Anolis sagrei: one gene and its partners. The main gene of each other region encodes a partner of the protein of the gene in region 2 in a complex. Links are inferred from orthologs where the notes say so. Each region holds a gene or a part of one and is shown on either strand. Other genes may lie near its edges. The genes, in order: LAMTOR3, LAMTOR1, LAMTOR4 and FNIP1.

What was found.
Region 1: LAMTOR1 (region 2) and LAMTOR3 share a complex: the UniProt entries of both Homo sapiens proteins name them as parts of the ragulator complex. The link is inferred for Anolis sagrei from reciprocal best matches to the Homo sapiens genes LAMTOR1 and LAMTOR3.
Region 3: LAMTOR1 (region 2) and LAMTOR4 share a complex: the UniProt entries of both Homo sapiens proteins name them as parts of the ragulator complex. The link is inferred for Anolis sagrei from reciprocal best matches to the Homo sapiens genes LAMTOR1 and LAMTOR4.
Region 4: LAMTOR1 (region 2) and FNIP1 share a complex: the UniProt entries of both Homo sapiens proteins name them as parts of the lysosomal folliculin complex. The link is inferred for Anolis sagrei from reciprocal best matches to the Homo sapiens genes LAMTOR1 and FNIP1.

The regions. Positions count from the first base shown.
Region 1 is NC_090025.1:26,545,291-26,553,437, forward strand, and holds the start of LAMTOR3 (ragulator complex protein LAMTOR3), read right to left. Parts: upstream 3,417-8,147; 5' UTR 3,303-3,416; intron 1-3,302. UniProt on the Homo sapiens protein: As part of the Ragulator complex it is involved in amino acid sensing and activation of mTORC1, a signaling complex promoting cell growth in response to growth factors, energy levels, and amino acids.
Region 2 is NC_090023.1:4,770,738-4,778,213, reverse strand, and holds the start of LAMTOR1 (ragulator complex protein LAMTOR1), read right to left. Parts: upstream 3,422-7,476; 5' UTR 3,263-3,421; coding exon 3,221-3,262; intron 1-3,220. Other genes in the region: secreted frizzled-related protein 2-like, read left to right, coding at 6,346-6,482. UniProt on the Homo sapiens protein: Key component of the Ragulator complex, a multiprotein complex involved in amino acid sensing and activation of mTORC1, a signaling complex promoting cell growth in response to growth factors, energy levels, and amino acids.
Region 3 is NC_090026.1:580,710-588,450, reverse strand, and holds the start of LAMTOR4 (ragulator complex protein LAMTOR4), read right to left. Parts: upstream 3,227-7,741; 5' UTR 3,131-3,226; coding exon 3,128-3,130; intron 3,033-3,127; coding exon 2,934-3,032; intron 1,234-2,933; coding exon 1,116-1,233; intron 1-1,115. UniProt on the Homo sapiens protein: As part of the Ragulator complex it is involved in amino acid sensing and activation of mTORC1, a signaling complex promoting cell growth in response to growth factors, energy levels, and amino acids.
Region 4 is NC_090022.1:93,982,860-93,990,187, forward strand, and holds the start of FNIP1 (folliculin-interacting protein 1), read right to left. Parts: upstream 3,083-7,328; 5' UTR 2,892-3,082; coding exon 2,794-2,891; intron 1-2,793. UniProt on the Homo sapiens protein: Binding partner of the GTPase-activating protein FLCN: involved in the cellular response to amino acid availability by regulating the non-canonical mTORC1 signaling cascade controlling the MiT/TFE factors TFEB and TFE3.

The DNA of each region.
Region 1 (8,147 bases), on a different chromosome or scaffold from region 2:
TCCTTGAATGATAACCATGTAAACTTATGCAATCAACGCTGTCATCACACTGTTGCAACACACAGAACATGGGGGAAATCATGGCAGAAGTCATAACCAGTTATGTGAATATTGTAATACAGATTGTATTGGCTTCTGTTGAGTTTCCAAATAACACATAAAAAGAATGCTGGTTTTCCCACACAAAACCAATCACACTTTGTGCTTCCATTTTGGACTGGCTAATACCGTAGCAGCTCTATAATATTCCAATAATAATAATAATAATAATAATAATAATAATGGCTGCCATGACAGCTACTCTATAATTTATACTGTATTAAAATACAGTATTATTATACATGCTAATAAAGGCTTATTGGATTGGAGAGCTGGTTAACTATTTACTGCAAAGGTGTTTCATGTCATTTCACTGTACACAATATTTGGGATAAGGTTTGAATGGAATTTAGGGATTGGATATATGTTGCTGTAACAACAAACAAGGAAGCGACTGTTTGCCTGAATTCTAACTGCTAAGCCTCACCTTTGCCCACTAAATCAATAACTGATGAATGCATCAACACATATGTAAATCTCTGAGATTCAAAGGATCTATGTATTGTCGAAAGCTTTCATGGCCGGAATCACTGGGTTGTTGTAGGTTTTTCCGGGATATATGGCCATGTTCTGGAGGCAATTTCTCTCCTGACGTTTCGCTTGCATCATAGATGCAGGCGAAACGTCAGGAGAAAAATTGCCTCCAGAACATGGCCATATAGCCCGGAAAAACCTACAACAACCCATTCAAAGGATCTACTTTAGTTGAATTTAGTGCCCTTCCACACAGCCATATATCCCAGAATATTGAGGCAGAAAATCCCACAGTATCTGCTTTGAACTGAGTTATCTGAATCCACACTCAAATAATGTAGGATTTGCAGTCTTGATATTCTGGGATATAGGGCTGTGTGGAAGGACCCTCAGATAATCAAGTTCAAAGCAGACATTGTGGGATATAATGTGTTCTTGATGGATTTCATGGATTTCACTGGGTTGGTGTGAGTTTTCCAAGCTGTATGGTCATGTTCCAGAAGCGTTCTCTCCTGACGTTTTGCCCACATCTATGGCAGGCATCCTCAGAGGTTGTGAGGTTTGTTGGAAACTAGGCAATAATAATAATAAACTTTATTTATACCCTGCCACCATCTCCCCAATGGGGACTCGGAGCGGCTAGCATGGGGCCAAGCAAGTGAGGTTTATATATCTGTGAATGTCTAAGGTGGGAGAAAGAACTCTTGTCTGTTTGAGGCAAGTGTGAATGTTGCAACTGGCCACCTTGATTAGCATTTCATGGCCTTGCAGCTTCAAAATCTGGTTGGTTGATGCCTGGGGGATCCTTTGGTGAGATTTTCTGCCTTGATATTCTGGGTTTTATGGCTGCATGGAAGAGCCCAAAAAGAGGCTGAGTAGCCATCTGTCAGTGCTTTGACTGCATCTTCCTGCATGGCAGAATGGGATTGAACTGAATGGCCCTTGGGAGTCTCTTTTAGTCTTTTTATGATTGATGTTCAACCTGTATTATAGTACAGTCTTGCTTATCCTACATAAATGGGCCAGCAGAATGTTGGATAAGGGGAAATGTATGATAATAAGGAGGGATTAAGGAAAAACTTATTAATTACATTATGATTTTACAAACTAAGCGCCAAATCATCATGTTTTACAACAAATGGACAGAAAAAGCAGTTCAATACATGGTAATGTGATGTAGTAATTATTGTATTTACGAATTTAGCACCAAAACGTCGCACTGTATAGAAACAGCTGTGGATCCAGGAAGGAGGCGAACTGCGTTGGACAATATAGAACGTTGGATGAGCGAAAGTTGGATAAGCAAGACTCTACTGTACTTCCCTCAATCAAGACCTATGGAAGCAGCCAAATTAAAAGCAACCCTTTTAATTAGAAATCGTGAAAGAATGCAAACTTCCCAGATTGTCATGGATCTCGGGTGCTCCTTCTCTGAAGATATGGGGTGCATCTGCACCATAGAATTAATGCAGTTTGACACTCCTTTGTCTTTTAGTATCTGTCCACGGAATTCTGCTCAGTGTTTCCTTCATTTTTCGGAAATCAGCTCTCCTAAAGTCCAAAATGGGGGTTTGACTTGTCTTAGTTTTGGGCATGTTTAGCCTGAAGAAGAGAAGGCTGAGAGGAGATATGATAGCCATGTATAAATATGTGAGAGGAAGTCACAGGGAGGAGGGAGGAAGCTTGTGAGAGCCGTTCAGCAGTGGAACTCTCTGCCCCGGAGTGTGGTGGAGGCTCCTTCTTTGGAGGTGTTTAAACAGAGGCTAGATGGCCATCTGTCAGAGGTGCTTTGAATGCAATATTCCTGCTTCTTGGCAAGGGAGTGGATTGGATGGCCCATGAGGTCTCTTCCAACTCTATGATTCTATGACACCACTTTAAGGGCCATGGCTCAATGCTAGCTGTGGAATCATGGAGATGTAGTTTTGGGGGGAGGCACCGGTGTTCTTTGGCAAAGGAAGCTACAGACCTTATAAAACTACAACTCCCATTATTCCATAGCACTGAGCTATGGCAGTTAAAGGGGTGTCCAACAGCATTAATGAACCGATGGTCTCCAGAATCATAGAATCATTGAGTTGGAAGAGACCTCGTGGGCCATCCAGTCCAACCCCCTGCCAAGAAGCAGGAAAATCACATTCAAAGCACCCCTGATAGATAGCCATCCAGCGTCTGTTTAAAAGCCTTCAAAGAAGGAGCCTCCACCACACTCTGGAGCAGAGAGTTCCACTGCTGAACAGCTCTCACTGTCAGGAAATTCTTTCTAATGTTCAGGTGGAATCTTCTTTCTTGTAGTTTGAAGCCATTGTTCTGCATCCTAGTCACCAGGGCAGCTCTTCCTCCCTATGGCTTCCTCTCACATATTTATACATGGCTATCATGTCTCCTCTCAGCCTTCTCTTCTTCAGGCTAAACATGCCCAGCTCTTTAAGCCACTCCTCTTAGGGCTTGTTCTCCAGACCCTTGATCATTTTAGTCGCCCTAATCTGGACACATTCCAACTTAGATTCAACAATGTGGTGGCCAGAATTGGACACAGGATTCCAGGTGTGGTTTAACCAAGGCAGAATAGAGGGGGTGGCATGACTTCCCTGGATCTAGACACTATAGAAAGGAGGGAAAGAGTGGGATACATAGTATGCCTGCTGCAATGGAAGCAAGACGCCTTTAACCCCTTGGCAACCTTCCCCTCTCATTCACCCCCTTGGTGCCTTCCTCTGGTTACAAACCTCCCTTCTTTCCCGGGCGCCCCGCCTGAGAAGTCCTGCCTGGATCCGCAGCTGCATCCCCTTCAAGCCTCTGCTGTCATGTGACTGGAGACTTTCTCTTCCCTTTTCCTGTCCCTCACTTCCGCTTTGGAGCAGGGGAACTTCCGGTGAGAGAGGGCCAGGCCTTGGGAGGGAGGGAGGAGCCACGTGGTTCAGTTCAGTGTCTCCCAAGCGTCAATTAGGCTTATGATCACCTGTAGAGAGGTTGGTTGCATGATTGTCTTAAGCGTGGGGTCTTTCCAGGTGTTTGGACTTCAGCTCCCAGAATTCTCCATCGTTGGTGAAAGCATCTGAGGCTTCTGGGAAATGAAGTCCAATAAAAGGATTGGCCGCCTAGAGCAGTGTTTCTCAATCCTCGCCAAGGTCGCCAAGGACCATCAGAAGTGTGGGAAGTTTGGCCCAATTCTTTCTTTGGTGAAGTTCAGAATGCTATTTGATTGTAGGTGAACTATAAATCCCAGCAACTCCAACTCCCAAATTTCAAGGTCTATTTTCCCCAAATTACACCAATGTTCACATCTGGGCATATTGAGTATGCATGCCAAGTTTGCTCCAGATCCATCATTGTGTGAGTCCACAGTGCTCCCTGGATGTAGGTGAACTACAACTCCCAAACTCAAGGTCAGTGTCCACCAGACCCTTCCAGTATTTTTCTATGTGCCAAGATTGGGTCAATTCCGTCGTTGGTGGAGTTCAGAATGCTATTTGATTGTAGGTGAACTATAAATCCCAGCATCTACAACTCCCAAATGTCAAGGTCTATTTCCCCCCAACTCCACCAATGTTCACACTTGGGCATATTGAATATTCATGCCAAGTTTGCTCCAGATCCAAACAGCCGGTAGGGGTCATGCTGTTCGGAATTGTGGGAGTTGAAGTCCAAAACACCTGGAGGGCCCAAGTGTGGCCATTCCTGGTGTAGATGGACTCAAGCTGGAGAGTCCAGGCAGTTCCTTGCCTACCAAGAAGCTCCACTGGATCCAAATTCCTTGCAGCAGTAGAAGAGACTTTTTGATTAGTAGAGCAGAAAGAATAGATCAAACTCATGAAGAGTGGTAATTAAAATTGTGACTATTCACAAACACATATTGTAGTTGAAAAAGATGAACCACAACAGGAATGCAAATAAACTCTTTGTAAATTGTCTCCTTTTTTTATATTCAAGTACCTGTGACAGAACTAGAGAATCAGATAAAAATGTTTTATTCACACCGAAAATAATTTTATTTTGATACAAGTCTGATATTACATTAGGTAAATTACAAATTAGATTTTTAAAAATCTAACATTACATCTACAGTTAAATAACATATATTTTTGTTAAGATGCCAGTCTCAATTTCATAGAATTTCAATTGCAGGGTGTCTGTTATAAACTGGCAAAGCATGATTCACAAATAGATCTCTCATCCTATCAGCCCTTCCAAAACTAACACTGAAGCCCTTTCCAGTTTCTAGAGCTGTCATGAGACACACATGACAGTTCAATTCCTAAGCACTTGCTTAAAAATAACTCTTATTATTGCCAATGTCAAGTTATGCTTGTAGAGTCTGACATGTTTCATGCAATCCCAAGAAATTAGTAGTCACTATCAGAAAGTCATCCATTGACAGCAATTGTTCTGAAAACATCATTTGTCTGTAGGGCATTGATAATTTTTTTTTTTTACAATTTATTAAGTGCAGGAATGATTCTGTTTATTTTAATGTACTTGGGAATCACATTGCACATGGACATTCCTTTCTTGTAAAAACTAGAAAGTCTTCCTTCACAGTGCAGACAGTTTTGGAATATATCTTATTGAGAAAACATAGGCTAAACATCAAGAACTGCACCAATCATTTCAGTCTAATGGATCAGCTTCTCCATCAACTATATTCAGTAAGATGAAACTCTGTTATGTTTCCACAAAACCCCATCAAAGACCATTAAAGTTTTTAAATTGTGGGCCACTAATGGATTTTAAAAATGTTTATTAAATAATGACAAGGTGGCTTTCTTGTCTCATAGGAAACTAATTTCCAAAGTCAACTTGTTCTTACAGATTCAAAGAATCCCACCTCAAAACGTAAAAGCTCAATGAATTGTCAAAGGCTTTCATTTTCATGGCCGGAATCACTGGGTTGTTGTGAGTTTTCCGGGCTGTATGGCCATGTTCCAGAAGCATTCTCTCCTGATGTTTCGCCTGTATTTATGGCAGGCATCCTCAGAGGTTGTGAGGTCTGTTGGAAATTAGGAAAATGGGGTTTATATATCCGTGGAATGTCCAGGGTGGGAGAAAGAACTCTTGTCTGTTTGAGGTAGGTGAAACTTTCAATTGGCTACCTTAATTAACATTTAATGGCCTAGCGGTTTCAAGGTCTGGCTTCTTACTGCCTGGAGGAATCCTTTGTTGTGAATTAAAACATTCACACCTACTTCAAACAGACAAGAATTCTTTCTCCCACTCTGGACATTTCACAGATATATAAACCCCATTTTCCTAGTTTCAAACAGACCTCACAACCTCTGAGGATGCCTGCCATAGATGCAGGCAAAACGTCAGGACAGAATGCTTCTGGAACATATCCATACAGCCCGGAAAACTCACAACTCGGCACAAAAGCTCCTTTGAAGATGTAAACTTCTTGTGAAACTTTTTAATAGTAGAGCCCTTTTTGGATCATTGGAGGATAACATACACATAGAAACAAAAGCATTTTGAGGGGTTGCAACCTGTGGCAGGTCCCTGGGAAACAAAATTACCCTCTATTGACAAATGTATTTGGTGGGAAACACTGAACACAGTACATGATTACTTGGAGCTAATAAAAAGGTCATCTTTAAATCATTAATGCTGCCCACATTAACATATTTCAGATCCATGTAAGTTCTACAATTTTGAAAGCTACCATAAATTCATGTGTTCTATAGAACTTGAAAGCCAAAAGGGATTTCATCTCCACTTGTGATTCACCCTGCTGGACACTTCTTTCTCTGCAATGTATGAAGTCTCGCAGTAACACTTCAGCCCCTAAATCCACTGTGAAGTGACTGAACCAGAAAACAGACACAAACCGAACTGGAAGTGGTTAGGAGTCCCACGTCAGTTTTTAAAACCTCCAGTTGAGCAGGGAGATGGGAGGACAAGCAAAGCTCTGGTTCCTGGATGCTTGCACGAGTGAAAATACTGGTATATTCTATCTTTTTTATGAGGTATTGGGGTGAGTGCAAATAATAATAATAATAATAATAATAATAATAATAATAAAACCTGGGGGCTCAAAAGGCTCCCTGGGCCTACTGGAAAAGAAAGTTAAGTAACTATTACTTGTGATATTGCATATAACATTTTATGTAAATTTAAATTAATTTTAAAGTGAATTTTGCAAATTACACAATCCTGTAATCCACAAAATAAACTAAAATCATGGAATTTGAATATAGTTGCTGAGTGATGTAGAGCACAGGAAATCTGCTTTGCAGATGATTGTAGGTGTTTAAAGAATCTTATATACAAATTATTCAGTATTGCTTTGGGTTGGAGCCATAATTGGGCCGAGGAAGTGATGAATGAGAATAAGAACAATTGATCTGCTCAATTATTGAATCTGCTTTTAAAAAACATTTTAAACATTCTTTACCCAACTGAGGTTACCTGTGCAACTCACAGCCTTCCCGTTCTGTGGTTCTTTTCCCTCTGAAACACATTTCAGATATACATTACAAAAAGTTTATACAAAAACAGTTGTAATTTAGATCGTGGCACTGAAATCGTGCTGTAGGCTTCCAGATAGGCCTTAAGTATGCACAGAAGTTTGGTTTAACATAAAAACTGTGTCCAAGAAGTCCTATGAATCAAGGGAAATTGATCTCTTTAGAAATGTTCAATCTATTTTTTAAAACTTACCTGTATGAATTAGACAACACTGAGATTTACTACAGAAAAAAGGTAATATATTCTTACCTAAATTAAAAATTCTGACAGAAGCTGAAACAACTCTGCAGGCTTGTTCTATGTTCTAAGATAATTCACAGTTGCTACCCTTGACAGCAATTAAAACTAAAATTAAAAAAGAATTCAGAATTTGATGTGCAGTAGCTTACAAACATTTGCTAAAATCCTCATTTTTCAGGCACCAGGTCTGCTATGTTTTAGTGTCTTGAAAACTGCACATTGCATTTACACTAACAAAAGTGACTACATGCATATTTCTTATACGAGTCCTCAAAATCTAAACCCTTCATTACATTCTTGCTATTCAACGCTCTTTATAAACTTCCATTCTGCACACATCCGGACTGAAACACCTGTTCTGTGACTTCTTAGCTGGGATGATTGGGCCAATGTGAAGTTCCAGGTACAACTAATAGCAGCATTTCAAAACAACCTGAGAATCAACAAAATGGTTCAAAGGCACAAGGCTTAAGTCCAGGAACAACTTTCTTGAGCAGTCTGATATCCAGGTTAACAAAAATGCTAGGCTGCCAAACAGCTATTTATAAAATACCAAGCTGCTTGCAGATTTACAGCATAGGAAATTCCATGCCTTCCATGTTGAAAGAATTTGCAACTCAAAATGTTAAAAGGGTGGGGGATGCAGCAGCAGTGTGGTCTTTATTATGCCAGGTTTTCTTTTTAGTGTATCAGAAGAAGCAGCATGCTAAATGGAATGTTTGTATATTTCAGTTTTAGGGTGACTATATTTCACTCAGCAAGAAATAGCCTGGTGTGGATTTCTCCACTGTCACTGCTTAGATATGAAGTGTTCAAGCTGCAAGAGGAAAATGCTGGCATTCTGGCAATAAACCGGTTTAATCAAGCAT
Region 2 (7,476 bases):
CCAATATCAATATATGTACTTTATAGGAATGTTTAAAATGGGAAGTTGGGGCTAAATGTGAGAGAAATAAGGTTGAACACTGTGAAAGCCACCCACTTTTTTCATGTCATGAGCAACTTGAGAAACTGCAAGTTGCTTCTTTGTGTAAGAGAATTGGTCGTCTGCAAGGATGTTGCCCAGGGGACGCCGGGATGTTTTGATGTTTTACCATCCTTGTGGAAAGCATCTCTCAGGTCCCCACATGGGGAGCTGGAACTGACAAAGTGAGCTCATCCGCGCTCTCCCTGGAATCGAACCTCCAGCCTGTCTGTCTCCAATCCTGCTGGCTCAAGGGTATAACCTATTGCGCCACTGTGAGCTCATAGCAGCCACCCACTGCATGGCTGTCAGCCTCCTCCCAGTAGACTCAAGTCAAGGAAAACCTTCATGAGATCCAAGACTCTTTTTGACGTTCCCCCAGCAACAGCAAGGGTCTCCTTCTGGGCAGCTCAACCAGGAAATACCAACTGGATGGCCCCCCAAGAGGGAGGGTCTTCCTCCAGGGGCAAACCAAGAATGGGCCACTTGGAAATCCCTGAACAAACTCAGAAGCGGAGTGAGCAGATCAAAAGACAACCTGGCTAAATGGCACCACCTAAAAGAAACCCACACCTTATGTGACTGTGGAGCAGAACAGACAACTCCGCATCTGTATGCTTGTCCGCTGTGCCCTGCCTCATGTACAGAGGAAGAATTGTTGGAGGCTACAGACAATGTCGTTGCTGTTGCCCGTTTTTGGTCAAAAGATATTTAGCTGCCTGTGCTCCTTCTATTTTTATCAGATTTATACTGGTCGCACTGCCAGAAGGGACAGAGTTTCATCTATGCTGATGATCATGCCATCACTGCTCAAGCAGGGAGCTTTGAGATGGTAGAACAGAAGCTCTCCGAAGCTCTAGATGCTCTTACTGCCTATTACAGGGAAAACCAGCTGATCCCTAATCCATCTAAAACACAGACATGTGCCTTTCACCTTAAGAACAGACAAGCATCCCGAGCTCTGAGGATGACCTGAGAAGGAAGGAATCCCACTGGAGCATTGCAGCGCACCCAAATACCTGGGAGTCACTCTGGACTGTGCTCTCACCTGCAAGAAGCACTGCCTGAACATCAAGCAAAAAGTGGGTGCTAGAAACAATACCATACGAAAGCTGACTGGCACAACCTGGGGATCACAAGCAGATACAGTGAAGACATCTGCCCTTGCGCTGTGCTCCTCTGCTGCTGAGTATGCATGCCCAGTGTGGAACACATCTCACCACGCTAAAACAGTGGATGTGGCTCTTAATGAGACATGCCGCATTATCACAGGGTGTCTGCGCCCTACACCACTGGAGAAATTACACTGTTTAGCCAGTATTGCACCACCTGACATCCGCCGGGAAGTAGCAGCCAATAGTGAAAGGACCAAGGCAGAGACATCTCCAGCTCATCCCCTGTTTGGGTATCAGCTAGCATGTCAGCGACTTAAATCTAGAAATAGTTTTCTAAGATCTACAGAGACACTTGCTGGAACACCCCAGCAAGTGAGAGTCCAAAAGTGGCAGGCTCAAACCCAGAACCTGATATCAAATGAGAGACTCCCCCCTGGGCACACAGTGGACTGGACGACTTGGAAGGAGCTGAACAGACTGCATTCTGGCACCACGAGATGCAGAGCCAACCTTAAGAAATGGGGCCACAAAGTGGAATCCACGACATGCGAGTGCGGAGAAGAGCAAACCAGAGACCACCTGCTGCAATGCACCCTGAGCCCTGCCACTTGCACAATGGAGGACCTCCTTGCGGCAACACCAGAGGCACTCCAAGAAGCCAGATACTGGTCAAAGGACATTTAATCCACTACCAAACTGGCAAACTTTGTGTCTTTTGTATGTTTGTTTGTTTGTTCTGTCAAAAATGTAATACAAACTGTCTGGCTGCTCCTGACACGATAGATAAATAAATAAATAAATAAATAAAGTAGTCTATTCGGGATGTAACGAGAGAGTGGACCACCGTGGAGCAGAACAGACAACTCTGCATCTGTATACTTATCCATTGTGTCCTGCTTCATGTACAGAGGAAAAATTGTTGGAGGCTACAGACAATGCTGTTGCCCGTTTTTGTTCAAAAGATATTTAGCCACTTGCGCTCCTTCTATTTTTATGGGTTTTATACTAATTTATGCAATACTTTTGATCTATATAAATAAAAATGTAATGTTCGTTTGTGGGATTAACAGAACTCAAAAACCACTGGGCGAATTGACACCAGATTTGGACACAAGACACGTAATAGTCCAATCTATGTCCTTCACTAAAAAAAATTGATTTTGTCATTAGGGAGTTGTAGTTGCTGGGATTTATAGTTCACCTACAATCAAAGACCATTCTGAACTCAACCAATGATGGAATTGGGTCAAACTTGGCACACAGGACTCCCATGACCAACAGAAAACACTAGAAGGGTTTCGTGGGCGTTGATGTTGAGTTTGGGAGTTGTAGTTCGCCTACATCCAGAGAGCACTGTGGACACAAACAATGATGTTGAGTTGGGGAGTTGTAGTTCACCTACATCAAGAGATCATTGTGGATTCAAATAATGATGGATCTGGACCAAACTTGGCATGAATACTCAATATGCCCAACTGTGAACACGTGTGGAATTTGGGGGAAATAGAATCTTGACATTTGGGTGTTGTAGTTGCTGGGATTTATAGTTCACCTACAATCAAAGACCATTCTGAACTCAACCAATGATGGAATTGAACCAAACTTGGCACACAGGACTCCCATGACCAACAGAAAACACTAGAAGGGTTTGGTGGGCATTGATATTGAGCTTGGGAGTTGTAGTTCACCTACATCCAGAGATCATTGTGGACTCAAACAGTGATGGATCTGGACCAAACTTGGCATGGCTATTCAATATGCCCAAATGTGAACACTAGTGGAGTTTGGGGGAAATGGAATCTTGACATTTGGGAGTTGTAGTTGCTAGGATTGATAGTTCACCTAGAATCACAGAGCATTCTGAACCCCACCAACGATAGAATTGGGCCAAACCTCCCACACAGAACCCTCATGACCACCAAAGTGGGCCCACAGCAAACCCCAAAAGGCCCAGGTTTGTCCCTCTGGGTTTGGTCTTGATGACCTTTAGGGGCCCCTCCCTTTCCCCCCATTCTTTGGGCCCAGACCTGGTCCGAGGCCTCGTTCTCGCTGCTGTAGCAACAGCCCATGGTGGCAGCGGTTGCGGAGGACGACGAGGAGGCCGAAGAAGCCGCCCACCGGCCCGCCGACGGACCCTCTGCCGCTGCTCCCCTCGCAGTGCTTCCTTTTTCACTTTCCCCCTCACTTCCGCCCTCACTTCCGGTCACGTGAAGGCAACTCTAGACTCTGTCAACATCCGGGGACTCTGGCAATGCTGGGGAGGGTGGGGCTGGCTCACGTGATCATCCCAAAGGGAGGCCGGGCTCTGAGCTCACGCGCTAGCCAATCCGCTCTCAGTCTGAAGGGGACGCATGCGCATTGCGTACGGCGGAGCGGAAATTTCCATTCCTGCCCTGCCTTTTCTCGCAGGAGGCGATCACGTGATGTGTTTGGGGTTTTTTTTTCTTGCGAAACACTGGCTGCGCATGCGCAATAGGCTTAGTTTAGTTTTTCCTCCCTTCCCTTTTTCTTTCTTTCTTTCCTTCAGTTTCAAAGCCATATCCCTCTTCTAATTGCTCGCACTCATATAATTGCTGCCATAATTGCCTTGTAACTTTATTATATATTATATTTATATTATATTTATTATAATATTATATTTACTATTAATATTATATTATATATTGTTATTAATATATTATAGTATACTTTATTAATTATATATTTTTATATTATATATTATATACTAGTTTGGGTAACTATATATTATATTATTTCCTGAAGCGATAAAAGTCAGTTTCAAAGCCATATCCCTCTTATAATTGCTCGCACTCATATAATTGCTGCCATAATTGCCTTATAGCTTTATTATATATTATATTTATTATTATATTATATATATTATTTATATATATTGTTATTAATATATTATTTTAGTATACATTATAAATTATATATTATTTTATTATATATTATATACTAGTTTGGGTAACTATATTATATCTATTATTATATTATAATTTTAGTATACATTATTAATGATATTTTATTATACATTCTATATTAGTTTGGGTAACTATTATATCTATTATATTATATCTATAATATATCTATTATAGAGTTTGGGTAATTATATTATCATATATATATATATATATATACTCTATAATGTATTATACAGTGATGGTTTTGGACGATTTGGATCTTTTAACTGTGATGATAATGTTTTAATGTGTCTGGTGCTGATATTTGGAATATTGTGTCCAATTCTGGGCACCACAATTCAAGAGAGATATTGACAAGCTGGAATGTGTCCAGAGGAGGGCGACTAAAATGATCAAGGGTCTGGAGAACAAGCCCTATGAGGAGCGGCTTAAGGAGCTGGGCATGTTTAGCCTGAAGAAGAGAAGGCTGAGAGGAGACGTGATAGCCATGTATAAATATGTGAGAGGAAGACACAGGGAGGAGGAGGGAGCAAGCTTATTTTCTGCTTCCCTGGAGATTAGGACGCAATGGAACAATGGCTTCAAACCACAAGAGAGGAGATTCCATCTGAACATGAGAAAGAACTTCCTGACTGAGGGGACCAGCAGGCTTCTTTCCATGGCTCCACACAGCAACGATATTCATTCCGGGCTCCGGGGTCAGACTGCATGCCCTTTGGGTGCCCCTTCCCACAAATTTGGGCTCTGGGATATGACTGCTTGCGCTTTGGGTGCCCCTTCCCACAAATTTGGGCTCTGGGGTACGACTGCTTGCACTTTGGGTGCCCCTTCCCACAAATCTAGACTCCAGGGTCAGACTGCATGCCCTTTGGGTGCCTCTTCCCACAAATTTGGGCTCTGGGGTACGACTGCATGCCCTTTGGGTGTCCCTTCCCACAAATTTGGGCTCTGGGGTATGACTGCATGCCTTTTGGGTGTCCCTTCCCACAAATCTGCACTCGAGTCAGACTGCATGCTCTTTGGGTGCCCCTTCCCACAAATCCGGGCTCTGGAATGAGACTGCATGCCCTTTGGATGCCCCTTCCCACAGATTTGAGCTCTGGGGTACGACTGCATGCCCTTTGGATGCGCCTTTTTACAAATATGGGCTCCTGGGTCAGACTGCATGCCCTTTGGGTGCCCCTTCCCACAAATTTGGGCTCTGGGGTACGACTGCAAGCCTTTTGGATGCGCCTTTTTACAAATATGGGCTCTGGGGTCAGACTGCATGCCTTTTGGGTGACCCTTCCCACAAAGCAGGACTCTGGAGTCGAACTACATACCCTTTGTCTGCCCCTTTCCTACAAATCTGGGCTCTGGGGTCAGACTGCATGCCCTTTGGGTGCCCCTTCCCACAAATTTGGGCTCTGGGGTACGACTGCAAGCCCTTTGGATGCGCCTTTTTACAAATATGGGCTCTGGGGTCAGACTGCATGCCTTTTGGGTGACCCTTCCCACAAAGCAGGACTCTGGAGTCGAACTACATACCCTTTGTCTGCCCCTTTCCTACAAATCTGGGCTCTGGGGTCAGACTGCATGCCCTTTGGGGGCCCCTTCCCACAAATTTGGGCTTTGGGGTACGACTACATGCCCTTTGGGTTCCGCTTCCCACAAATCTAGGCTCTAGGGTCAGACTGCATGCCCTTTGGGTGCCTCGTCCCACAAATCTGGGCTCTGGGGTCAGACTGCATGCCCTTTGGGTGCCTCTTCCCACAAATTTGAGCTCTGGGGTACGATTGCATGCCCTTTGGGTGCCCCTTCCTACAAATCTGGGCTCCGGGGTCAGTCTGCATGCCCTTTGAGTGCTCCTTCCCACAAACCTGGGCTCTGGGGTCAGACTGCATGCCCTTTGAATGCTCCTTCCCACAAAGCCGGACTCTGGGGCCAGACTACATGGCCTCAACCCATTTCTTGAGCTTCTTAAAGTCCTAGTCTCAACCTTTTCTTCATTGGCCAAACTTTCCCTGGAATAGCCCTGTGTCCAGTTGGAGTCCTCATAATTCCAGGTAGGGATTGAGGTCATATAGCCTGACCCCTAAGCAGATGGGCAGACTAAGGCAATTCCCAGCCTCTTTGTCCTTTCCAGCCCTTTCTTTTCTCCTCCTCTTCCTTTTTATCCTTCCCACATTCCCATTGTTTTGGAAGGAGAAGGCTTATTGCAGCCCTCCTCATTGCAAGCCTCCCCTTTTATGACCCTGCTGCCCCTCCCTTTTTGGGGGGGGGCTTCCTGTCCTTTAAAGGGACCACCCATTTCCTTCTTTCCTTCCTTCCTCCTTTTTAGGTTTCCCTGCTTTTCTTCTTCCTTCTTGGACCATCCAGAAGCAGGGTTTGTGAAACTGTTTTTTGCTTAATAGGTGAAGCTTAGTCTTTAGGGGTCTTGGGGAGGTGGGGACCCCCCAAATGGGGAGCAACCAGGATGGGTTGAGAGAGGGTTTCTGGTTTGCTCCAAAGAGAAAGTCTTTGCATGCAAAGAGCAGAGTTTCCAAGGCTTTGCTTTTTAGGAAAGGGGGGGGGCATGAAGGATTGGGGTTCAAGCCCCCCCCCCATTGTGGGGAAGGGGCCTTGCAACTGGACCCATCCCCAAACACACAGCAGGTATATCAAGGGTGCATCTGCACTGCAAAATTAATTCAGTTTGTTTGACCCTACTTTAGCAATGGTGTGGAAACCTGGGAGTTGTATTTACTACCAGAAGTCTTTGGCAGAGAAAAACCTGGGAACTGTATCAGTTTTTGGCAAAGAATTTTGGCAAGGCCTTGCAAAACTATAACTCCCTTGACAATAAGTCATGGAAGTTTAAAGTGGTGCCAAACTGCATCCATTATGCACCAGATACTGTGCTATCTTGGGAAGTTGTAATTTGGTGCACTCATTGCAGAAATGCCAAGAGACCTTGCAAAACTACAACTCCCATGATCCCATAACATTGAGCCACGGCAGTTTAAAATGGTACCAAACTGCATCCATTATGCACCCAATACTGTGATATCTTGGGAAGCTGTAGTTTGATGCACTAATTCACAGATAGGCCAAGAGACCTTGCAAAGCTACAACTCCCATGACTTCAGGAAGTTGTAGTTTGGTGCATTCTTTGGCAGAAATGCGAAGGGACCTTGCAAAACTACAACTCCTATGACTTAATAACATTGAGCCATGGCAGTTTAAAGTGGCACCAAACTGCATCCATTATGCACCCAATACTGTGATATCTTGGGAAGTTGTAGTTTGATGGACTCGTTGGCAGGTATGCCAAGAGACCTTGCAAAACTACAACTCCCATGATCCCACAACATTGAGCCATGGCAATTTAAAGTGGCACC
Region 3 (7,741 bases), on a different chromosome or scaffold from region 2:
TACAAAACAATAACGAAACAATAACGAATCGATTCGTTAATGGCGGCCGCGATCGCGCAAAACGCTAAAAAACTTCAGAAAAAACTTCTGAAGCTTCCCTCTCCCTCTGTTGTTGACTGTTGGTGTGATATTATAATTTTTTTTCACTAATTAAACAAAAAACAACCATAAAACTTGCCCCAGACATGCGGAAATAATAACGAAACGATCTCAAACCAATAACGAAACAAATACATAACGAAATACGAAGCATTTACGAAACAAATTGAAAAATTCGTTTCGTTTTTAAGTTGCTCCAGAATGGTTCGTTATCGCTTCGTTAACAAAAAATTAACGGATTTTTAACGAATTACGAAACGAAACGCCCAGCCCTAATATATATATAGATAGATAGATAGATAGATAGATAGAGATAGATATAGATAGATAGATAGATAGATATATAAGCTGCTCTGAGTCCCCTTGGGGGTGAGAAGGGCGGCAAAGAAAGGTCATAAACAAATAAATACACAGGCCAGAAACTACAAACTACAAATCCCAGCGCTCTGCAGGAGTTGGAAAGGCAGCCACAAGGTTGGGAGGGGAGAGGTGCCCCAGTCATGCATCACAGCATCAACCTGCAGCAGAATTCTGGGAAAAGTAGTTCAGGAGAGGTGGGACCTGCTTGGGTCAGAATCCCAAAGACTCTGCTGTTGACTACATTTCCCAGAATCCTGCGGGAGTAAGGCTGATACACAACACACCAAGCCCACACTGACCTCCAGCAGTAAATGGAATATTGGGGGGGGCATAAATACACAGGCCAGAAACTACAAACTACAAATCCCAGCACTCTGCAGGAGGTGGAAAGGCAGCCACAAGGTTGGGAGGGGAGAGGTACTCCAGTCATGCATCACAGCATCAACCTGCAGCAGAATTCTGGGAAATGTAGTTCAGGAGAGGTGGGACCTGCTTGGCTCAGAATCCCAAAGACTCTGCTGTTGACTGCATTTCCCAGAATCCTGCAGGAGTAAGGCTGATACACAACACAACAGCCCCACACTGACCTCCAGCACTACATGGAATTGGGGGGGGGGGGGGTCCGCAGAGAAGGCCTCCCCTCCCTCTGCTCTCACCTGAGATGCGTCGGAAGGGAACTTCCGTGGAGCGGGGCAGGCGGAAGGCGCAGGCGGTGCTGGCCAGCTCCGAGAGGGCCGCCGCCGTGCGCTCGTCATTCTCCAGGTCGCCCGCAGACTGCAAAAGGGAGAAGGAGAGGGTCAACCAGGGAGGAGGAGAATTACCATTATGATCAGTTAGGTTTGCTTATGCCCCACCTTTTGGAAGCAATTTGACCCCATAACAATCCACAATACACAATTAAAAGATTTAAAATAGAAGAGAGGGGCCCAGGAAGACAGCCCCATCTAGTCTCCTGTGTCAGGCTAATAATATAATATATTGGATATACATAGAATATTTATAATATTATAATGTCATGCAATAATAATAATAATAATAATAATATATTATTATTATTATTATTATTATATATTTATATTACATGTAATACTACTAATAATATTACAATATGGTGGTATGGTGCAATATAGCAATGTTTAATGCTGATATTGTACTATGCTAATTATATAATATATTGCATGTAATATAAACCTTGTAAGCCGCTCTGAGTCCCCTTCGGGGTGAGGAGGGCGGCATAGAAATGCCATAAATAAATACATAAATAAATAAATAAAATATTTTAAAGAACTAAAGTACATCAGAGGGTATACCAATATCCACCGGGAATAGCCAGACATAGAGTTTTCCTTTTACCCCGGCGTGCCATCACAATAATGCTGTAAGTGATTATGAATAAGCCAGGAGCCAGACATGGAGGCGAAACGTCAGGAGAGAGTGCTGCCGGGTGACATTGTCCACACAGTGCCAGGAAAACACACAGCTAACCCAAGCCCAGCCTGCCCCTGTTGATCTCCAACTAGGCCCCGCCCCTCCTCTTTCAGGCCCCGCCCCCTCCACCTCTGGCCCCGCCCTCCTATATCTCGCTCCTCCCTCCCAGGCCCCCTCTGAGGCCCCGCCCTCCTATACAAATCCCGCCCCTTCTCTCACAGACCCCACCCCCTCATTCTTCTCTTTTCTTAATCCCCGCCCCTTCAATCCCAGACTCCGCCCTCCTCTCGCAGGCCCCGCCCCTTCTCAGCCAGACTCCGCCCCCTCTCAATGTTTGCTTCCACTTCTTAATCCCCGCCCCTCCTCTCCCAGGCCCCGCCCCTCTTTTCCAGACCCCGCCCTCCTCCCGCAGGCCCCGCCCCTTCTCTCCCAGACTCCGCCCCCTCTCAATCTTCTCTTTTCTTAATCCCCGCCCCTTCAATCCCAGACTCCGCCCTCCTCTCGCAGGCCCCGCCCATTCTCAGCCAGACTCCGCCCCCTCAATGTTTGCTTCCACTTCTTAATCCCCGCCCCTCCTCTCCCAGACCCCGCCCTCCTCCCGCAGGCCCCGCCCCTTCTCTCCCAGACTCCGCCCCCTCTCAATCTTCTCTTTTCTTATTCCCCGCCCCTTCAATCCCAGACTCCGCCCTCCTCTCGCAGGCCCCGCCCCTTCTCAGACAGATTCCGCCCCCTCTCAATGTTTGCTTCCGCTTCTTAATCCCCGCCCCTCCTCTTCAAGGCCCCGCCCCCTCTTTCCCAGACCCCGCCCTCCTCCCGCAGGCCTCGCCCCTTCTCTCCCAGACTCCGCCCCCTCTCAAATTTCTTTTCTTAATCCCCGCCCCTTCAATCCCAGACCCCGCCCCCTCTCGCAGCCCCCGCCTCTTCTCACCCAGACCCCGCCCCCTCTCGCAGGCCCCGCCCCTTCTCTCCCAGACTCCGCCCCCTCTCAATCTTCTCTTTTCTTAATCCCCGCCCCTCCTCCCGCAGGCCCCGCCCCCTTTGCTCACGGCCAGGACGGCTCCGTCGCAGATGACGAGGTACCCGGTCTGGTCGGGGACGCGCTCCAGCCCTTGGGTCAGCGCCGCCGCCGCCGCCGCAGAGGAAGCCTGCCCGAGGGAGAGAGAGAGAGACCCGGATGAGCACAGGAAGAGGGGGGCCAGGGGGGCCAGTCCCTCCCCTCCCGGTCGCCCTGGCAACGCACCATCTCCACAGCCAAGGGGCCCGCGCGTCACGTGAGGGCCTCCAACTTCCGGCAACACCCTTGCAGCTCCGCTAGGCGTCCCGCCCTCAATAGGCGCTCTTCCCCCGCTCCCTGCCGGCCTCCCATTGGCTCCCGTGGATGAGTGGGCGTGGCGTAGCCGTGGCTTCCTCCAATCAAAGACTACGAGGAAGCGTGCCGCCCAATGAGGAGGAGGAGCAGCGCGGAGGGACCGGAAGTGAGGGAAGAGGGATGCCTGGCCTCAGGAGGGAGGGCCCCTTCTTCCCCGGAATCTCCCAAAGAGAGAGAAGGAAGGGCCCTCAGCGCAGGATCAGAGGGAAAGAGTGGGAGAGACCCCCAAAGGCCAGCCAGCCCAGCCCCCTTCTTTCTGCCTTCATGCAGGGAAAGCACCATCAAAGCACCCCCGACGGATGGCCTCCCAGCCTCAACACTACTACTGCTGCTACTAATAATAATAGAGTTGGGAGAGACATTTCAAGGCCATCTAGTCCAGCCTCCTGCAGGGGAAGCACCATCAAAGCACCCCTGAAAGATGGCCATCCACCCTCAATAATAATAATAATAATAGAGTTGGAAAAGACATTTAAGGGCCATCTAGTCCAATCCGCTTCTGCCTTGCAGGGAAAGCACCATCAAAGCACTCCCAACAGGTGGCCAGCCAGCCTCAATAATAATAATAATAATAATAATAATAATAATAATAGAGTTGGGAGAGACATTCAAAGGCTATCTAGTCCAACCCCATTCTGCCTTCATGCAGGGGAAGCACCATCAAAGCACCCCTGAAAGATGGCAATCCAGCCTCAATAATAATAATAATAATAATAATAATAATAATAATAGTATACTGTGGACTCATCTTATTGTATTTCAAATAATAATCATAATCATAATAATGAGTGTCTGCTGTGGAGTCATTTTATGTTTCTAATAATAATAATAATAATAATAATAGTGTTGGAAGAGATCTTTAAAGGCCACCTAGTCCAGCCCCCTTCTGCCCTGCACATTTAAAGCACCTCTGACAGATGGCCACCCAGTTATTTTTTTGGCTTTGAGCAACTGCATCATCCCATGTGGGGCTAGCTGACCATATCCTCTGTCTTCTCCCCACGGTCTGCTGTACCGATCCATTTAGTTTTCATTTAAATCAAGAACTGGCAAATAGAGGGAGAAGGCGTGGAGACAGCGACAGGGTTTGTCCTCCTAGGCGCAAAGAGGTTTCGGACTCCAACTCTCACAGTTCCTAAGAGCTGGTAGGCTGTTGGGAATTGTAGGAGTTGAAGTCCAAAACACCCGGAGGGAGGGAGGGCTGAAGGTGGCCTGGGCCTGAGTTAGAGGAAGTAATGCTACCCCTCTGCTTTGGTTAGACCACATCTGGAATATTGTGTCCAATTCTGGGCACCACAATTCAAGAGAGATATTGACTCTAAGCTGGAATGTGTCCTGAAGAGAGCGACTAAAATGATCAAGGGTCTGGAGAACAAGCCCTATGAGGAGCGGCTTAGGGAACTGGGCATGTTTAGCCTGAAGAAGAGAAGGCTGAGAGGAGATATGATAGCCATGTACAAATATGTGAGAGGTAGCCACAGGGAAGAGGGAACAGATCAAGGGTCTGGAGAACAAGCCCTATGAGGAGCGGCTTAGGGAACTGGGCATGTTCAGCCTGAAGAAGAGAAGGCTGAGAGGAGATATGATAGCCATGTATAATTATGTGAGAGGAAGCCACAGGGGGGAGGAGGGAGCAAGCTTGTTTTCTGCTTCCCTGGAGACGAGGACGCAATGGAACAATGGCTTCAAACTACAAGAGAGGAGATTCCATCTGAACATTAGGAAGAACTTCCTGACTGTGAGAGCCGTTCAGCAGTGGAACTCTCTGCCCTGGAGTGTGGTGGAGGCTCCTTCTTTGGAAGCTTTTAAGCAGAAGCTGGATGGCCATTTGTCAGGGGTGATTTGAATGCAATATTCCTGCTTCTTGGCAGAATGGGGTTGGACTGGATGGCCCATGAGGTCTCTTCCAACTCTTTGATTCTATGATTCTAGACATTGGCTTGCAGGTAGCCCCATGGCTGTGAGTCTAGACAGCTGTTGTCCTCCTGGAGTGATGGTGGGCGTTGTCCTGGCGTGGCTAGTCTTCCTGGCGTGGCCTCACTTCCATTTCTGTCCAATATAATTTGGGAGTACATTGTATTTGAAGACACCAGCTGTACATTAGTCGTGTTATTTATTAACGAGCAAGATGTGCCTCTGCTCAGATGCCTGCCTTGCTTGAGGGCCCTTGCAAGGGAAGGAGCCCAACGCCGTCTCTTGAGCACTTCCGTAGTGTCCAATGCATTCAGCCAAGGCATTGCTCCAGACGGGAGCTGGCCAAGGGGGCCGATGCACAAGGTGTGCTAACTCAAACTGCAAAATGTGCACGAATGAGAACCAGCACTTTCGAGTGTGTATTGACCCCCTAGCACAGCCGTTCTCAGCCTTCCCAATGCCGTGACCCCCTAACACACTTCCTCACGTGGGTGGTGACCCCCAACCAGAACATTATTTTCGTTGCTACCTCATAACTCTAATTTTGCTCCTGTTATTCGTCGTAATGTAAATATCTGATCTGCAGGATGCATTTCGATTCACTGGACTAAATTTGGCCCAAATACCCAATAAGCCCAAATCTGAATACTGGTAGGGTGGGTGGGAGGGATTGATTTTGCCATTTGGGAGCTGTAGTTGCTGGGATGTATAGTTCACCTACAATCAAAGAGCATTCTGAACGCCATCAATGATGGAATTGACCTAAACTTGGCACACAGAACTCCCATCACCAACAGAAAATACTGGAAGGGTTTGGTGGGCATTGACCTTGAGTTTGGGAGTTGTAGTTCACCTACATCCAGAGAGCAGTGTGGACTCAAACAATGGTGGATCTGGACCAAACTTGGCATGAATACTCCATATGCCCAAATGTGAACACTGGTGGAGTTTGGAGAAAATATACCTTGACATTTGGGAGTTGTAATTGCTGGGATTTATAGTTCACCTACAACCAAAGAACATTCTGAACTCCACCAAGATGGAAATGAACCAAATTTGGCACACAGAACTCCCATCACCAACAGAAAACACTGGAAGGGTTTGGTGGGCATTGACCTTGAGTTTGGAAGTTGTAGTTCACCTACATCCAGAGAGCAGTGTGGACTCAAACAATGATGGATCTGGACCAAACTTGGCACCAATGCTCAATACACCCAAATGTGAACACTGGTGGAATCTGGGGAAAATAGGCCTTGACATTTGGGAGTTGTAGTTGCTGGGATTTATAGTTCACCTACAATTAAAGAGCAATCTGAAATTCAGCAAATATCAGTGTTTCTCAACCTTCCCAATGCTGTGACCCCTTAATACAGTTCCTCATGTTTTGGTGACCCCCAACCATCAAATTATTTTCGTTGCTACTTCATAACTATAATTTTGCTACTGGTATCAATTGTAATGTAAATATCTGATACACAGGATGTATTTTCATTCACTGGACCAGATTTTGCACAAATACTCGATACTCCCAAATCTGAATACTGTTGGGGGGGGGGGGGGAGATATTCATATTGTCATTTGGGAGTTACAGTTTGCTGAGATTTATAGTTCACCTCCAATTAAAGAGCATTCTGAAATGCACCAAAGATGGAACTGAACCAAACTTGGCACACAGAACTCCCATGGCCAAAAGAAAATACTGGAAGGGTTTGGTGGACATTGTAGTTCACCTACATCCAGAGAGCACTGTGGATTCAAACAATGATGGATCTGGACCAAACTTGGCATGGGTACGCAATATGCCCAAATGTGAACAGTGGTGGAATTTGGAAGTCGTGATTCCTGGGATTTTTAGTTCCCCTACAACCAAAGAGCATTCTGAACTCCACCAACAATAGAATTGGGCCAAACGTCCCACAAAGAACCCCCATGACCAACAGAAAATACTGTGTTTTCTGATTATCTTTGGTGATGATGTCAGGCACCCCCCCCCCCCTTTCAGAATTAAGGGATAAGAACTTATAGTTCTGCAAAGGGCAAGGTCACCAGACTACACAACAAGGGTTAAGTCTTGACCACATTGCCAAGGCACTGACAACAACAAGGACCCCACGAGGCTTTTTGGGAAATGGCTGGATCTTGGGACTTCTGCCCTTTTGTGAGAGTTGTAGTTCCCCAAGGGCCGGACAATGGATTCTGTTGCTGCCTGACCCAGCGCACATAACTGGGTTCCTGTTTCCTTTTTGTGACTCTCTGACTTATGCACTGGACTATTTATCATATCCATGACCACGAACTATCCTTTTCAAAGTTTATGAAGCCTCCAGCTTGTGCCTTAATAAAGATCAATTATTGAGATAAACTTTATGGGGTGGGAAGGGGTTCCTCTTCTGCTCTAACTCTGTATCAGTGATGCCTATTGCCTGTGATTTTGATATATGTATGTAACCTTATGAATTTCCTCTGTACCCTCGTCCCCTTGACCCTTGCCCCACAAAAACTGCTGTGACCAGGAACTGCCTGAGGGAGGGCTCCAGCCTCTCCCTCAATCACCCTTGATTGCTTCACTTG
Region 4 (7,328 bases), on a different chromosome or scaffold from region 2:
TGTGGTGGAGGCTCCTTCTTTGGAGGCTTTTAAACAGAGGCTGGGTGGCCATCTGTGGGGGGTGCTTTGAATGCAATTTTCCTGCTATTTGGCAGGGGGTTGGACTGGATGGCCCATGAGGCCTCTTCCAACTCTATGATTCTATGATACAGTGAAGAGGCAGCCTTGATCAGAAATCTAATCCCAAACATTATTGAACCAGCAAGAACTTCTAAAAGCCACACTTCTAACTTTAAGCAGCTGGATTTAGGCCTCCATCTTCAGGACAAAATTATACCAACAGTACACAAAAGAGATATACACACATTGTAAGATGATCATTTCGAGAGTTCAAGAAGACTCTCACTAGTCACATTTCTGTTGATGTTGTTGTTACAACAGCAAGATAAAGGGAGAGCCAGAAAAGCCCAGCCAGGCAAGGTTCCTCTGTTGTGGAAGGATCCTGACTGATTTCTCTGGTAACCCTACACTCCTCATCCGCTGTCAAGCAAGAGGCAGCGGCCCAAGTTGCAGATTTAAGGTGGCTCTGGCCAGGCACACTGCCATCCTCTTCCCCTTCCAAGGAAAGCGGCCAAGGGAAATGTCAACCTTCATTTCAATTTTTTATAAACACAGAGAGAGAGGTCCAAATCACTGCCCGGATCACCCCAACCCTTTCTGCAGAAAAGGAAAGTCATGGCTGGCAAAAGAGAAGGAAAAGACTACTCCACCCCTTCTTCCCAACTCAGCAGCAAGGGGTACATCATCTAACAATGCAATCTGACAACAGGTTAATGGCTACTAGCTTTGCTAGTTTAGCCTTCTCTGACAAAGGGAGAAACCAGAAAGGCCATCTGACAAAGAAACCCTCCAGACAGCCCTCTAACCCAGAATATCAAGGCAGAAAATCCTACAATATCTGCTTTGAGCTGGGTTAACTGAGTCCACACTGCCATAGGCAGAAAATGTGGGATTTTATTCAGCTGTGTGGAAGGGTCTAAGGGTAGCGACGCCTCACCAAACCAGAAAGCAGTCAAACTGCATCCATTCTACAGTGTGCATGCACACAAACAAGGAAAGTTTGCAAAAGGAGAGAAAGAGAGGAAGAGGGAGGAGAGTGAAAGAGAAAAGAGGAAGAGTTCAAAAATCGGCCAAAAGGAGGAAAATGGCTCGATTTTGTCTCTTTCACAGTAATGAAGAAATTTCTCTACTGCTCTCCAGCCCTGAATGTCCACGTTTCAAAGGGAGCTGAACAATTTTAGAGTTGAAGGGAGGAAGGAAAGCAAGGCTGTATGGCTGGACTGAGAAAGTGAAAGAGGCAGGAAGGAGCAACGTTGCAGGAAGGGGGAAGCCAGGGGAAGTGAGCCTTAGAGTTATTAGGGCTGGGTTGTTGTGAGTTTCCAGGCTGTATGGCCATGTTCCAGCAGCATTCTCTCCTGACGTCTCACCTGCATCTATGGCAGGCATCCTCAGATGTCGTGAGGTCTGCTGGAAACTAGGAAAATGGGGTTTATATATCTGTGGAGTATCCAGGGTGGGAGAAAGAACTTTTGTCTTGTTATTAGGGGTCTTCCTCCTGGCGATTTCCACTTGAGATCCTCTACAGTGGTTCTCAACCTGGGGTCCCCAGATGTTTTTGGCCTACAACTCCCAGAAATCCTAACAGCTGGTAAACTAGCTGGGATTTCTGGGAGTTGTAGGCCAAACACATCTGGGGACCCCGGGTTGAGAGCCACTGCTCTAGAAGTTGGAAAGGGAGGGAGCTGCACCTACACTGTAGGATTAATGCAGTTTGGGCACCACTTTGGACTGCCACAGCTCAGTGCTGAGAGTGGTGGCTTTCCTCACAAGGTCTTATAAAAATATAATACACCCCAAGGAGTCCACAGGATGAAGCCAAGTGGTGCCAAACTAGGTTAATTCCACAGTGTAGATGCACCCAGTGAAGGGCAATACTCAGAACTGGGGAGGTTGTGAATGATACTATAGATACATGGAATGTATAGAGCAGGCATCCTCAAACTGTGGCCCTCCAGCTGCTTGGGGCTCCATCTCCCAGAAGCCCTAACAAGCTTGTTCAGTTGTCAGGAATTCTGGGAGTTGAAGTCCCAAACAGCTGGAGGGCTGCAGTTTGAGGATGCCTGGTATAGAGTATACCTAGTACAGTTGTTCTCAACCTGTTGGGCCCCTGATGTTTTGGCCTTCAACTCCCAGAAACCCTCACAGCTAGTAAACTGGCTGGGACTTCTGGGAGTTGTAGGCCAAAACACCTGGGGACCCACAGGTTGAGGACCACTGAATGTATTCATAGAGTATCAGGCTGTTAGGAATTGTGGAAGCTGAAGTTCAAAACATCTGGAGCTCAGCTTGCCCATGCCTGTGCCACAGTATTGCAAATGAAGCACACACACACAAAAAGTGGGTTGCTTAAGTTTTTCAGGCTGTATGGCCATGTTCCGGAAGCATTCTCTCCTGACGTTTCGCCTGCCTCTATGGCAGGCATCCTCAGACGTTGCGAGGTCTCACAACTTCTGAGGACGCCTGCCATAGATGCGGGTGAAACGTCAGGAGAGAATGCTTCTGGGGCATGGCCATACAGCCCAGGAAACTCTCAGCTACCCAGTGATTCCGGCCACGAAAGCTTTCGACAATGCAAAAAGAAGTTCTGCGATGTGGGAGCCCTCCTGGCCCTTCCTGCATTGTGTTTACTGAGGAGGCCAAGAAGAAAGAGAGTAAGCGGGGTGGGGGGGGGGGGCAAGGTGGGAAGCCCCTCTCCTGGGGGTCCCTCCCTCCCTCCCTTCCTCTTTTCCCTACCTGAGGACGCACTCCTCCTTGGGTTCCTTGGCGGGCGAAGGCGAGGCGCTGCTCCTCTTGTTGAAAAGCTTCTGCAACAGGGTGGGCGTGGGGGGCATGGTGGGCGCAAGCAGGAGGAGGAGGAGGGTCCCTCGCCTGCCTCCCAGCAGCAGCAGCAAAGGCAGCTAGTTCCGCCAAGGCGAGTCCATTCGGCCCGCCTTGTCTCCCTCGCCGCCTCTCTCTCCCTGTGTGTGTGTATGTGTGTGTGTGTAAGGCGCCCGCCCGCCCGCGCGTGTGACAGTCATATGACAAAAATTAATCACTCGGAGAAGCCCCGGCGAGGGAAGGAGAGGGGCGGGGCTCGGGGAGGGCTTCCCCGCCGCGGATTGGCCGAGGAGGCCTGCTCACGTGGCACAGGGGCGGGGCTTGGCGCGGCTCAGAGGCAGGGTGTGTTTTGGGGCCAGAAAGGAAGGCAACGAGGAGAAGGAAGAAGAGGAAGAAGGGGGAGATCTCTCCCGCCAAATTTGGCCCCAATCCACCGCCCCCTTCCAAGCACACTCTCAAGCAAGGAGGGGGTTGGCTCGCAAAAACAAAAGGAAACATCCTCAATCGTCGTTTGTGTTTTGCTTTTTTTCAAAACTGATTTCTCCCCCTCCTCCCTCGCCTTGATTAAAGAGCTGCAGCTCCAGAGCTCGATAAGGGATGCAACTGGTTGTCCTATCTTCGCTGCCATATCATGCAGTTTGGAACTGCATCATGTGGTCAGTGTAGACCCAATGGTTTTAACCACATAATCACTCTAGAGAATGAACCCACTTTAAATCCAGTTTCTGCCTCCTGCAGAATCCTGGGATTTGTAGCTTAGTGAGGCTGTGAAAGGCCCCTCACTAAACTACAAACCCCAGAATTCTGCAGGAGGCAGAAACCAGATTTAAAGTGGGTTCATTCTCTAGCGTGATGAAGCATTGATTTTAAGTTCATAGTCACATGAACTGATTTTAAGTTCATAGTCACATGTAATAATAATAATAAAAACTTTACACCCCGCCACCATCTCCCCAAGGGGACTCAGGGCGGCTTACGTGAGACCAAGCCCAACAACACATCAGTAAAAGCAAAGCAGCAAACAATAAAACAGTACAATTAATATAACTCACATATAAGCAATAACACAAAATTTAAAACCTTATGTAGCGGGGGGGGGGGGGGGTTGAGGGGCTTCAGTCCCCCCCCCCCCCCCCCCCCCGAAATTCTCAGGGTGATCCACGAGAAGGCCTTACTGGTACGTGGCACGGTGGCGTCCTTGTCCACACCTGGGCCATCAGCGCACTCTCTTTCCTTTGATTTCAGCCTTCGGTGCCGGGAGAGGAAGGGGAGTGCGCCGGCACTATCCTCAATATATCTCATATGCATGGGGGTGTTGGGATAACGATATAAAAGGTTGGCTAGAGTAGATTCTCTCTCACTCAGACTAAGCCCCCACCCACCCCCCAAAACATTTTTCCCACATCTATGGCAGGCATCCTCAGAGGCCTCACAACCTGAACATTCACAGTAATCAATATTGCATCTACTTTGGAGAATCTGTTTCCTTAGCTGCTCCTTTGAGTTAGTACTTTCAGTTCTTACAACAAAAGTGAGGGACACACTTTGTTTTGTTCAAACTCAGCTATTGTACTATTGTGTAGAATAAAGTAAAGGATCCAAATAAGTATTGTCGAAGGATCCAAAAAAGTGTTCTCCTTTTTTCATTAAGAATCCAGAATAACCCACAAGACTGTCAAAATTCTAGCTTCTGCTTGTGATTATGACAACATCCAGAAAGAATCAGGAGAGAAATGTTAATAGGTTTCTGTGAATTTTCCAGGCTGTATGGTTGTGTTCCAGAAGCATTATCTTCTGACGTTTCACCCACATCTATGACAGGCACCCTCAGAGGTTGTGTGGTCTGTTGGAAAGTCGGCCTAATTTCTAACAAACTTCATGATCTCTGAGGATGCCTGCCATAGATGTGGGCAAAACGTCAGGAGATAATGCTTCTGGAACACAGCCATACAGACCAGAAAATTCTCAGCAGCCCAATAATTCCGACCATGAAAGCCTTCGACAACACAGAAATGATGATGTTTGTGAAAGCCCATGCTTATAATTCTATCACGTTCAACAGATGGCACCAAATAAAATCCTGGAAACCGTGCTATGTATACTCAAGTATAAATTTATACACTTTTGTAATAAAAAAATATAAAAAAACAGCCCCCACAAAACTGGGCTGACTTCTCCATAGGTCAATGTACCGTAAGTAACTCATAAAAAAAAGGAACCACCTCCCTCTCTGCGTAGAATAGCCAAAGAAGAGAGATTAGTCCATCCCAAAAGAACTTAAAACAATGTTTCCCAACCTTTGGTCCTCCAGGTGTTTTGGACTTAAGCTCCCACAATTCCTAATAGCTGGGATTTCTGAAAGTTGAAGTCCAAAACACCTGGAGGACTAAAGGTTGGGAACCACTGACCTAAAAGCAGCACCCATCTTTCTACTCTCACGGCCATGGCACCACTTCTGGCCTTTTTCCTGCCTGGATTCCCAAAGGGCAGTGGTGGTTTGGAATGAGGTGACAGTGGTGCTTTCTGTCTCCTTGGTTTGACCCACAAATTATCCACAGGTCATATCAAAATCAACCCATACATTGTAGCCTGACGGCAAGAGGATCATAAAAGCAGCATCATTCTCATCATATCTGCACACAAATGGAGAAGAAGTTGTAATTTCAAATCATATGTATAGCAGGGGTTGGGAATTTCAGGCTCGGGAGCCAAACCTACACCTCCTGGAGTCCTCATTTGGCCTTCACATTTTCCCCATCCGACTGGACTCCAATTGTGCGAGGAGGTATAATGGAATGGAGTTTCCTAGAGGATATGAACTGGAACACAGACTAAGAGCAACATTTTCTGGCATCTCCCACTTCTACCTTTTCCTGCCATTTGTTTCAGTACATACTGTTCTAGAATATAAGAGCCAAGAAGGCCCCAGCCTTACAGTCCCTTTGCAGAATGAGAGCTCTACACAGCAAGCCATGTGGAAGTGGCCAGCATTGCAAGGCCTCCTATCATCATCCCTGTCCTGCTCTCCGGGGAGTGCTATTATGGGGAAGAGTTGAAGCATGTGCTCTTTCTGGCAGAGGGAGCAGTCCTGCTGCAATGTTCCCACACCTCAAAGTTAACAGGAGAGTATCTGTAACCATTTCATCAGTGCTGCATGAAAGCCACCAATCCTCAGCTCACTATCATTGAAATAGGAGAAACATAATACTTAGCTGTTTGAAAAAGTCATTGTATGGATTATTGAGTGAATGTATGGGTGTTTTTGTCTCTCAGAGGGGAAAAAAAAGTTGCTGTTTTTGTTACTTACAGAATCCTTTTCTGCCACCTCATCACAGCATGGAACTGAAGCTGGGCTCTTAAAGCGTTTACTGCCAAAACACAAGATCTGGCAGCTTTATCAAGTTGGTAAAGCTTTGAGTACAGCCTGGTGGTAGACTGTGTATCTGTCATGTGATGACCAGCTCAGCTAAATACTGAGAATGCGGCAGCAATTATGAACATAGCAATGTAATGTGGAATCCACAACAGTGAAGGAACAAATGAGGCATTCACAGATCTGCAAGGCATTACAACAATTTTTATTCTTCCTTCCGTCGTTGTGTTTAATGTTAGCATCATAGCTCTAGATGGCCTGTGGATAGCTAAAGGTAGCAGAGACCTCTCAGATCACCTGTATTAGAGGAGGGGAACTATGGTTCTCCAAAACCTGTTGGATTGAAGTTCTCGGCAGCCCTTGGCAGCACAGGCAGTGGTGAGGGATGATGGGTACATACTCATCTATATATATAAATTTGTTAGGGGCATCCAACGAGGAAACAAAACTCAAAAACCCCCCAACGAAACTTAACCAAAATTGCCATGCCCATAACACAACCCACAAGGTACAAACATATCTACTCAAAATGAAAAACAACACAACAACACAGTCACAAAACAGCAAAACAACAAAACTCAAAAAACCCCAACGAAACTTAACCAAAATTGCCATGCCCATAACACAACCCACAAGGTACAAACATATCTACTCAAAATGAAAAACAACACAACAACACAGTCACAAAACGGCAAAACAACAAAACTCAAAAAACCCCAACGAAACTTAACCAAAATTGCCATGCCCATAACACAACCCACAAGGTACAAACATATCTACTCAAAATGAAAAACAACACAACAACACACTCACAAAACGGCAAAACAACAAAACTCAAAAAAAACCAACGAAACTTAACCAAAATTGCCATGCCCATAACACAACCCACAAGGTACAAACATATCTACTCAAAATGAAAAACAACACAACAACACACTCACAAAATAGCAAATCAACAAAACTCAAAAAACCCCAACGAAACTTAACCAAAATTGCCATGCCCATAACACAACCCATAAGGTACAAACATATCTACTCAAAATGAAAAACAACACAACAACACACTCACAAAACGGCA